Oryza sativa Japonica Group: one gene and its partner. The protein of the gene in region 2 binds, or shares a complex with, the protein of the main gene of each other region. Links are inferred from orthologs where the notes say so. Each region holds a gene or a part of one and is shown on either strand. Other genes may lie near its edges.

What was found. Proteins that work in one complex are often made in the same cells at the same time.
Region 1: NAD(P)H-quinone oxidoreductase subunit T, chloroplastic (region 2) and nAD(P)H-quinone oxidoreductase subunit M, chloroplastic share a complex: the UniProt entries of both Arabidopsis thaliana proteins name them as parts of the chloroplast NDH complex. The link is inferred for Oryza sativa Japonica Group from reciprocal best matches to the Arabidopsis thaliana genes NdhT and NdhM.

What each region holds. Positions count from the first base shown.
Region 1 is NC_089038.1:27,480,412-27,484,849, reverse strand, and holds nAD(P)H-quinone oxidoreductase subunit M, chloroplastic, read right to left. Parts: upstream 3,150-4,438; 5' UTR 3,110-3,149; coding exon 2,624-3,109; intron 2,470-2,623; coding exon 2,293-2,469; 3' UTR 1,929-2,292; downstream 1-1,928. Other genes in the region: uncharacterized LOC4336531, read left to right, coding at 1,022-1,098, 1,584-1,661; uncharacterized LOC4336529, read right to left, coding at 4,175-4,411. UniProt on the Arabidopsis thaliana protein: NDH shuttles electrons from NAD(P)H:plastoquinone, via FMN and iron-sulfur (Fe-S) centers, to quinones in the photosynthetic chain and possibly in a chloroplast respiratory chain.
Region 2 is NC_089045.1:6,120,599-6,126,750, forward strand, and holds NAD(P)H-quinone oxidoreductase subunit T, chloroplastic, read right to left. Parts: upstream 3,644-6,152; 5' UTR 3,587-3,643; coding exon 3,252-3,586; intron 2,811-3,251; coding exon 2,390-2,810; 3' UTR 2,123-2,389; downstream 1-2,122. Other genes in the region: pyruvate kinase 1, cytosolic, read left to right, coding at 126-194, 281-370, 685-829, 902-990, 1,068-1,163, 1,245-1,312, 1,388-1,487, 1,594-1,650 and 1 more; protein ACTIVITY OF BC1 COMPLEX KINASE 1, chloroplastic, read right to left, coding at 5,448-5,518, 5,600-5,669, 5,780-5,927, 6,004-6,116. UniProt on the Arabidopsis thaliana protein: NDH shuttles electrons from NAD(P)H:plastoquinone, via FMN and iron-sulfur (Fe-S) centers, to quinones in the photosynthetic chain and possibly in a chloroplast respiratory chain.

The sequences.
Region 1 (4,438 bases), on a different chromosome or scaffold from region 2:
TTGGTTATTCTGTTGTGTATTGCATTTTTCCTCAGAATTATATTTATGGTCATTGTAACTGGGTAAAGTTAAATCCATGGATAATCTTAATATTCTGTTACAGACTGTTAACCATTTGCACTTTGTGAATATATGTTGACCATAATTTATGGTTACATGTGTTCATAGTTTTCTCGCTCAAACATTGCAAGTTAAGTATAGTTTGTTATAACCCTTTGTTTGTTATAACCTTACAAATTAACCCTTTGTTCAGTTGTTTGTTATAACCTTACAAATTTGTTCTTAAGATGTTACATTCATGACCAATTAGTATACAGTCAAAATAGCTTATTGATGTTAGTTTTGTTCAACTGTTTGTTATAAGTTTACAAATTTCTTCTTAAGATGTTACATTCATGACCAATTAGTATACAGTCAAAATAGCTTATTGATGTGTTGGTTTAATCTCTGGAGTGTAGTTGTAGGCATAGGATCTTAGAACAACATTTTGATGTACTTAATTTTGCAAATAAGCTTGTAGGACTAATGGTTCCGAAAGGAAAAAGTGAGTGCAAGGCCAGAAGAAAACATGCCATGTTATTTTGAACAATTGCCACTGCATTAGTTTTACTAGAGTGTTGAACCTCCAAGTCTCAGTATTAAAGTATTTCTGTGCCCAAGATATCTACAGATATGGGAGCACTTTGATTGATGTTTTTTAAAACCACCAGCGGCAGTGTATGGACAGTGTCAGCTTATCAATTGGTTTGCTTAAACTTTGAGCTTATATGCAGAGATCCATACCAAGATCAAAACTAGATATTAAGAAAGTGATAGTTTTATTTTTCTTGAGAAGCTTTCTTTTATCTTCAACAGATCACTTAGCTTTCTTTGTTGTTGCTTATAAACACCATTGCCACTTTTAAATTTGACTATAAACTAGTAGCATAGCGTATTGCTGGCTGATTTACATAATGTATCTGTTGGCAGTTCTACATGGTTATTGCACTAACAAATGTCTTTTTTGTTTATTTAACTTTAGATCTCGTTGACCAAGTTATGCACACTAGCTTTCCAAATGGTTTAGCTCTGATGCGTGGGTTTTTCTTCTGGTTGCAGGTAACCTCATTAATATTGCTTTGGTTTCTTAATAAATAAACAGTGTAGGAATTACCTGCTTTCATGATTCTAGTTTGTACTTGCCACCATCTCTTTCTTATGCACAAGACTTACCTAACCATCAAAATCTTTTAGTCCCTCCACATAGAACTATTGCTAGAGCAAATGTGTTCTTTCGATAACTTATAGATGTTTTTTTTCTAAGTCGGAATAGATGGTTCATTTGCTGCTCAATATACAGTTCATTTTAAGATCAGTCTAGGTGAGCCTGATATAAGTAGCAGCGTAAACAGTTTATTTGCAGCATTACTGAATAGTACTATTTTCTTACTGCGTGGAATTGTACTCTGCAGTTTAGTACAACACAACTACCTAAGTAGCATGATGACATTAGTACTTAATGCAGCGATGGCATTTTTCTAAAAAAAGATTGAGATGCAGTTTTGTAATTGGCAATTTTTGAATTGTATGACACTCTTTTGCAGAATAATGCACATGAAGATCAATTCAGGCCATGGGTTGATGTTTCTAAAGACCACGAGGTTATTCCTTTGATCGATTGAGATTTACACATTGCAGCTGGTCAAACCCTCAAGTCCAAAACATTAAACATCTATTTGCGGGAATGACTCTCTTAAGGGTGACGTAATGTCATCAGCAGAGATTGTCTCGTATCTATATGGAATGAGATAAATAAATATATTGCCAATGATCGAGAAATAATTCCCTATTGGAATATGCGCACATCCTCTTTGCAAATAATTTAACATTGAGTTTTGCCTGTGAATTTGAGGGCTGGATTCCATGTTCTACCTGATCTCACCATCATAAAGCAATAAAGCAGTGGTGTTATTTCAATGTGATTGGATTACCTGAAGTATCGACATTTTCACACCGCTAATACTCAGCAAAAACCATAGAACGGAAATGCCATGAAACTAGAGTGCTAGACCCTTCCTTAGTCTTCACGACAGGGTAATACCCTCAGTTTGCTCAGCTTCTCTTTATGTAACCATGTTGGAGTCGACAAAATTATTATCGACTGTGAATGTTCTGCTTTTGTATGAACCCGATTTGAGTTCGGAAATACCCTAGCTCATGGCTCTTCTGGAAGAGCAAAATATACATTGGGCATCTTTGAACGGGAAAATCATTGATAGTTACATGCTTTCTCTTTAGGGTACAACACGCATTCTATTTTACATCTGGGATCTGGCTGCTGTTGAATTTGATCCTTGGTTTGCCCATGCTGAAATTGAGGACTCTAGACATCATGTTGTACTTTATCTCCCCATCGTATAGCAGTTTGCGGATGAAGTGCTCAAGATCAGATCCGATCAAACGAAGCGTGTACTCTGACAGCTCCGCGCCCTGTAAATTCAATCCAGGTCAGTTAAGCAGGTACTACCAATTAAGCTCTTACAACTAACATTTCCACCTGGAGAAAGAGACCATGGGTGTACACTACTGCTACCCTGCATTTGCAATTGCCAATTCTGCCTATGAGTTACGGTGCGTAGTATACCTCGTAGTGATCGACGAGGTCCTGGAACTCGTCGTAGACCTTCTGGCACGTCTCGTCGGTCCAGACGAACTCGTCGGTGGGGTCGAGGAGGAGGGTGAGCTTGTCCATCTGCGTCTGGTCGAAGGCGTTGGTCTCCGGGTTGATGTACGCGGCGTAGATGCGGATGTGCCGCGTCGTGCAACTCAGCCACTGCCCGCCGTACTCCCGGCTCATGTTCTTGCTCTCCGCCAGCGGCTGCACCGGCAGCGGCTGCGCCGGCCCCTGCCTCCTCGTCTTCCGCTCCCGCCTCTGCTCCTCCTCCTGCGGCGGCGGCGGCAGGTTTTCCACCGCCGCCTCCTCCTCCTCCTCTTTCACCTGCTGCTGCTGATCTTGGGCTCGCACCGGCGGGAACCTGACGCTTCGTCGCGCCGTCCACGTCGCGCGCGGGAGCCGGCGCTCGAGCGACAGCTTGGCCGGGGACAGGAACGGGGACGCCGTGGTTGCCATGCTGCGCGCAGCTGTTTCGCTTGGCTTTGGCTTGGCTTGTGTTTGTGTTGCGTGGGTGGTGGTGGTTTTTTTAGGTTTGCTGCGCCTGCGCGCGCGCGGCTAAGCTGCCGTGCCGTGCCGCCTTGGAGCCACTGGCTGTGTGTGGCTTGTGTGGATAAGGGCTATTTCTGGCACTGGGTTTCAGCGACTCGTACATGTTCTGGGCCAATTGACCACACAAATGTATTGGGCTGTGGACGTTGGCACGGCCTGTTGCATTGCATGACAGAGCTGAGCAGCACGCGCTCTCGTGTGGTATGGATAAATACTGTTGCATTTCTGACAAAACTTTGTATGTGACTGTTTTTTTATAACTCCATGTGGTGTGACGGTGATTTCATACTTAAAGAAGTAACCCACTTTTCCTCGGCACAGCAAAAGCAGAGGATACGCATACTCCATGGCCTTTAAAATAACGAGAGTAATTTTTTTTCCTTTTCACTTTGTGATGATCGCTTCACATGAAAGGCAAAGCAAAAGCCTCTGTAGTGATTTTAAGCTTTCTCAGGCGGGAAAAGTCTGTTCAGGATTACTCCATCCGTCCTATTTTAAGTGCAACCATAAATTTCCGTGTCTAACTTTGATCATCCGTCTTATTTGAAAATTTTTTATAATTAGTATTTTTGTTGTTGTTATGTGATGATACAACATGAATAGCACTTTACCCGTGACTTATGTTTTTAATTTTTTTTAAATAAGACGGACCGTTAAAATTAGGCGCGGAAAATCATGGCTACACTTAAAATGGGACGAACAGAGTAAAATACTTGGGAGACATGTACGTCGTACACCGGAGACTTGGAACACTTAAAACACTTTATTATATATAAACAACTTGTTCATATATATATATATATATATTGGGCAGTAATGTAATCTTGGCAGCAATCAATTACTACAACTAACGTGTATGCATGGTGCAGCAAATAGAATACTTACAACTAACGTACGAATGAACCAATTCAAACGAATGAAATTTAATCATGTATTTATGTACAAAGGAGAGACATAAGAACGTAGCTCGAGCTAGCCATGGACATTGGTCTGCATCGCCGGCGGCAGCAGCTCAGGAAGCCCGGGCGTCGATGCAACGATGAGGGGTATCACGGGGAGGTTCTCGCAGTTGCAGACCTCGATCATATTGCCGTCGGGGTCGTGGAAGAAGAGCTGGTCCACCACCGTCTCCCCGTCCCACACTTTCCTCACGACGAACTCCCGGTCCATGGCTCGTAGCCTCGCCTTCATGACCGCCATGTCTGAGCACTGCCATTCGCTCAAATCGAGTTAAGA
Region 2 (6,152 bases):
ACTGGTTCTCCCTGTACCTGTGACCACATGTTTCCCTTAGCATCTAAGCTATTTGTGCATTAAATCTTGATATATACAATAAAGTTGTGCAACACCACTGATCCTTACATATATTTGGCATGCAGCTTAGATCTTTTCTTCAATCTCATGGCCTTCAGGACACACAGATATATGCCAAGGTTGAAAATACTGAGGTATTTACCCTGCTTCTATGAAAATATTATTGTCGGGCTTTTCACTTCCCTCATTACAATTAACTGCATTGCTTATTCCTTTCTAGGGTTTGGATCATTTTGATGAAATTCTCCAAGAAGCTGATGGCGTCATTATTTCACGGGGAGACCTGGGAATTGACCTTCCACCAGAAGATGTAAATTATTTTTTTCCTCAAAACCCCATTATACACTATTTATCCCTATCATGCTGTTGGACATGTGCATATTCATTTTATTCATGACGCCTTGCCAATAGTAGTTATGAGAATATCTTCATTATTCTGGTGCAAAATCTTATCATCAATTGCTTATCAAGTTACGCTTTAAGTGATTCATTCTTCTCTGATAGGCTGTTGATCCATCTGAAATTTTAGTGCATGAACCGTTGTTCTGTACTCATAATTTGGAAAAATGTCATGATTACATGCCTTGCTTCATACCATGACCTCTCTCACTCTTGGAACTTCAGGTGTTCATATCCCAAAAAACAGCTATTAAGAAATGCAATCTTGCTGGCAAACCTGTGATCATCACTAGAGTTGTGGACAGCATGATTGACAATCTACGCCCAACACGTGCAGAGGCCACTGATGTTGCAAATGCTGTCCTAGATGGTCTGTAAACCTGTATTATATTACAACAAGTTGACAAATTTGTTAGTTTCTCTTATACTGCAAAAATGGCAGGAACGGATGGCATTTTGCTTGGTGCGGAGACTCATCGAGGCCCTTATCCAGTTGATGCAGTGAGTACTGTTGGGAGAATATGTGCAGAAGTATGTTTCTTTCTGTCCATCAATATTGCAATAGAGCCATCCAAATTTCTTGACTGATCAATGGTAAATGCTTGTAGGCTGAGTCTGTGTATAACCAGTTGGTTCACTTCAAGAAATTAGTGAAGCATGTAGGTGATCCAATGCCCCATGAAGAATCTGTGGCATCTTCAGCGGTAAACACTCTTAATTCATTTGGAACAGATACTACTTTGCTATCAAGGATTTATTGTGATAATCCATTTTTTCACTTGTAGGTTCGCACTGCAATGAAGGTAAAAGCTGCTGCAATCGTTGTGTTCACTTTCTCAGGAAGAGCTGCCAGGTACTCCACAATTAACTCCTTTCAAGCCTCCATCATTCAAGTGCTATTAATTCACTTCATGCATCCTGTCTGCAGGTTAGTTGCCAAGTACAAGCCACCAATGCCAGTGTTGGCCGTTGTCTTCCCACGTGAGGGCTCTGATCCAACAAAGTGGCGTTCTTACGGCACAACTCAGGTAAGTAACATGTATATCTATAATATCTGTCTGGGTTTTACAACAATCTTTCATTTCGTGGAACAGAATATGCCAACTTATTTTACCACTTCTATGTTGCTTTCAGGCAAGGCAATGTTTTGCTGCAAGAGGTGTCTACCCTTTGATGGCGAGTACTGAGGAGGTATGTTGAAGTTGCTAAATACTAGAGGCACCTTCACTTTCTGCTTTTTTGCAATGCCAAAACTTGCATCTTGCGGTAGCCCACAATGCAAATTTTCTTTGTAGTTCTACAAAAATGATAGCTGCATTATCCCCTCTTAATTACCATTTGGCATTTTTAAAATTTCAACTTGTTCTTAATATGTACATATGCGTGAACACTTTCTGTAACAGGCTGAAACTGGTGGGCTCACCAGGGAAGAGTACGGGATAAAACTTGCACAGAACTATGGTCGCTCGGTTGGTATGCTAAAGCCCTATGACAGGTTGATCATTTTCCAGAAGATCGGCGATTCATCTGTTGTCAAGATCATCGAGTGTGACAGTTCGTAAAAGATTAGACACCTACCACATTCCGTCCAAGAGTTTCAACCACACAGAGGCGGATTACCTTTTTGCTTTCTTTCTTGTTTGACATGATATTGAGACTAGAATAGGGAAGGCCAATTGTGCTGTTTGGCAATTTACCCATTTTAGGTCCATACTTGCTTTTTCAATAATTTCATTCAAGAGCCTATTTACACATTGCAACAATCCAATTTTGTGGACAAAATACAGGATACAGGGACATTTGGTTACTTGGTGTGGATGTGCAGTACTTATTTCGCATTACATCATGATACACCCGTACGTATAGCAAACAACATCTTGAGAGTGTATATGTACCTGAAAATTTCTTCTTCCTGGCATGAATGAATAATCTAGTACTGCTCCTTGAAGAAGACGGCGTAGATGAGGCAGAAGACGCAGAAGATGATGATGCCGATGTCGATGGTGAGCGCGGTCATGGCCTGGTCGCTGAGGTCCATGTTGCGGCCGCCGAGGCGGTCGACCATGTCGGGGACGGACTGGTAGCTGTCGAGGTCCTGCTGGTAGGGGTCCTCGAGCCTGGACCGCAGCTGCTGGAGGCGCCGGCTCTCGGCCTCCTGCGCCAGCGTCCAGTCGTAGAACCGCCGCGACTCCTCCCGGCTCAGCACGTTGTACGCCTCCCGCAGCCGGATGAACCGCTCCGACGCCTCCCGCAGCGGCAGCGACGTCGTGTCCGGGTGGTACTCCTTGGACAGCCGCCGGTACGCCGCCTTTATCTCCTCGATGTCCGCCTTCGGTTCCACCCCCAAGAACCTGGGTTTGATTTTTTTTTTGTACAAGTTTTTTGTTGGAATTTGTTCAGGTAAGTTCAAATTCTATAGGTAGTACCAAAAATTGGCAAATTGGCAAGGTTTTGTTAGGAGAAAAAAAAATGTCCCTGCACATCCCCTAAAAATTGTCTCGAAACCAAACAATCTCCGAAAAACATCAATGGGTTTTCTGGCTAGCTCCAAGCTCAAAGCCTCGTCCCCTTCTAGTTATTTTGGTATTAAGTTATTTACTAATATTCGCTATGCATTGGAGTTAACACTCAATTGGTATTGTGACTAGGACGGTGATTTTTTTTTTCATACGGGTTGGAAATTTCGAGACTTATTCAATTTTGGTTGAAGTTTGTCCAAAATTCAAGTCATTTTGAAATTTGTTCAATTATGAATGAAGAATGGGACAAGAGAGGCAGCAGTAGCACTCAACTGGTAGTGAGACTCGGACGGGTTGTTGATGAGGTCGGCGAACCTCCCACCGAGCGGCTCCTTCTTCCGGCCGCCGCCGTCCTTCTTGGCGTTCCCGCCGACCCACCCTTCGTCCGGGTCCGACCAGTGTATCCTCGTGTCCACCGTCTTCTTCTTCCCCTGCGCCGCCGCCCCGGCCGCCGTAGCCGGGGACGGCTCCGTCTCCGGCGCGCCCCCCGCCGCCGCCGCGACGACGACGGCGACGAACGCCCTCCCGCTCCCGCGCCGGCCGTGGACGCTCGCTCGCCGCCGGTGGAGGAGCGGCGTGAACGGGGCGGATGCCGTGGACGCCGCCATGCGAGCGAGGCCGGAGTGTGCGTGCGTGCGCGCGCGCGGCGGCGCACGAGTCGAGTCGAGTGCTTTTGTTTTTGTTATTATTTTTTGAGGTGGTGGTGCATTCCAAAGGAGCTCGAGGCTGAGGAGGTGTGCATACGCTGCGGCGCGAGACGTGGTGAGGAGGCGATGAGGTGGGGCCCTGGCGTGGGGCCCACCTGCCAGCATGGCATCTCCCGGGCCCACGTATAGCTTCACGCCAAGAAAATGGGATCCGGCTCTAAATTTTAAGTGCTAAAGGGAGAGGAGCAAAGTAAATTGTATCCTGTGCTACCGTGTGGAACAGTGATTTTGCAGTTATTTACTATAGTATTAGTGGTAAATAGTAACTATACTGTACATAGATACTGCTCGCGTGTTACTCTAGAGTATTGTAGCGATCAATCTCATCCGTTCGTTATAGATCGGACGGCTGAGAATACCCTAAAGTCACAACAGCGTGCTTCTCTGACTGCACTCGAAAGATCTCAATCCAAGAGAAACGATGGAGATGAAAAATTTTAGCTATCCTTCCAACCGATTGTTACTTACGCCTATACCACATAAAACTAGAAAAATAAAGCTATCCTCGGGTAAATTGTTTTTGCACGCCACAACGAAAAGGCTAATCCACATGTTTCGTTTTGGGTTTTTGGCTTCTTGCCAGTTTGGACATGGATGGAGATTGTTTACGTGCATTGGCTCGTAGCCGGATAAATAACAGCTATATCCTCAGACCTCAGTCGAAAGAAGGGATGAAATGGCTAACGATAAATGGAGAAAAATGGGATAAAAAAATTGACGAAATGGAGATGCGGGGGATCGAACCCCGTGCCTCTCGCATGCAAAGCGAGCGCTCTACCATTTGAGCTACATCCCCGAACATGTAATTCTTTCTTTCTTAGTATTATTTTACTTGTAAAAATTCTGAGTTCGGCAGGGGAACATCTTTCTCAGGAAATGAAAATGAAGCGGCGGATTACATACGATTAATTAACTATTAGCTAAAATTTTAAAAAAAAACATACTCCCTCCCTTTCTAAGTATTTAACGTCGTTAACTTTTTAAATATATTTGACCATTTATCTTATTAAAAAATTTAAGTAATTATTAATTATTTTCCTACCATTTGATTCATTGTTAAATATACTTATATGTATACATATAGTTTTATATATTTCATAAAAGTTTTTGAATAAGACGAATGGTCAAATATGTGCTAAAAAGTCAACTGTGTCAAATATTTAGAAATGAGAGTATTGTTTAGTAGTTAAGCTGAGAAAATGTATTGTAGAACACCTGCCGTTAGATGTCGAACTGAACCAACTGACCCGATGTGCTTAGGCGTAGGAGCCGTCGGCGCCTGGTGTTATGTTTTCTTTTCCTAATCATAGTCTTCCTAGGCTATAAAATCTTGAACAGTTTGATATGAAGCCTCACACATTTTTTGTGCGGTTCGTATTTTTTAAAAAAAGCGCTTAGTTGTCACCAGGGAACTATAACATGCAAAACATATGATCTGATCTTATAATGTAAGTTTCCTCGATGTACACATATAGCTACTTTCTCCCACAATACAAGCTCATTCTATATACAAGTTCCTTTTCTTCCGCTATACAAACGGCATATACAGAGCCATCGAAAATATATAAATGAAATGCAGATGGCAAGTTTCCTATACAATGATATACTATAGAAAAGAATAGCAAACCAAATTGTGTACAGCAAAGAGGAAAAATGTAGTCATCTATATCTATCTATTTTAGTGTAGGTTAACTGAAGGAAGAATGGCTCCTGCAGGTCTTGACAGCACTTCTGCTTGCTGCTCTAAACTGTTAACCTGAGATCAGTATTGCCGATCTGACAGGATGGAATCGCTCCAAGAAAGCATGAAATCGCGCGCGACGGATGGTAAATCTGCACAGAAAAGTAAAGTAAATGCATTTCAAATGGAAGAACAGGAGAGTTTTTCCAACTAACATAGGTCGACTGACTTACCTTGGATAACCTCGAGAGCAACTGATGGAATGTCGATTTGATCTTCGACCAGTCTGTACACATCAACAAGCTGCAAAAGAGAGAAATGGGTTACAGTAATCCACTGGAAAAATTATCTTCCATCTTTCCTTAGTATACAACTTGTGTGAATACTGTAGTGAACAATCCATGTTAAAGTACCTCTTCTACATGCAACTTGGAGTCCTCCGTGAAAGCCATAATAAGTTGTCTCCTGATGCCAGCGTCGATAAGGAACAAACGTGCTCCGTCTTTTATTGTGTCGGTGAGATCTAATTTCTTCTCCATTTGTCGATTTCTCTCAATTTGCCTAGTGGTTCACAAGATCAGAGTATTTCTAGAAATAAGATTTAGAGCGTTATAGAACAGACAGTTCTGATACTCACGAGCTATTCTTTTTTAGTGCAGGATTGCTGCTCATCTTGGACACGTTTTCCTTGGCAAGAACTATAAGGTTTTCTAGCCGTTTCCATTGGAACAGACCATCTTTGAATAATACCTTCATAGGGAAAAAAAACATGGTGACGACATAAGT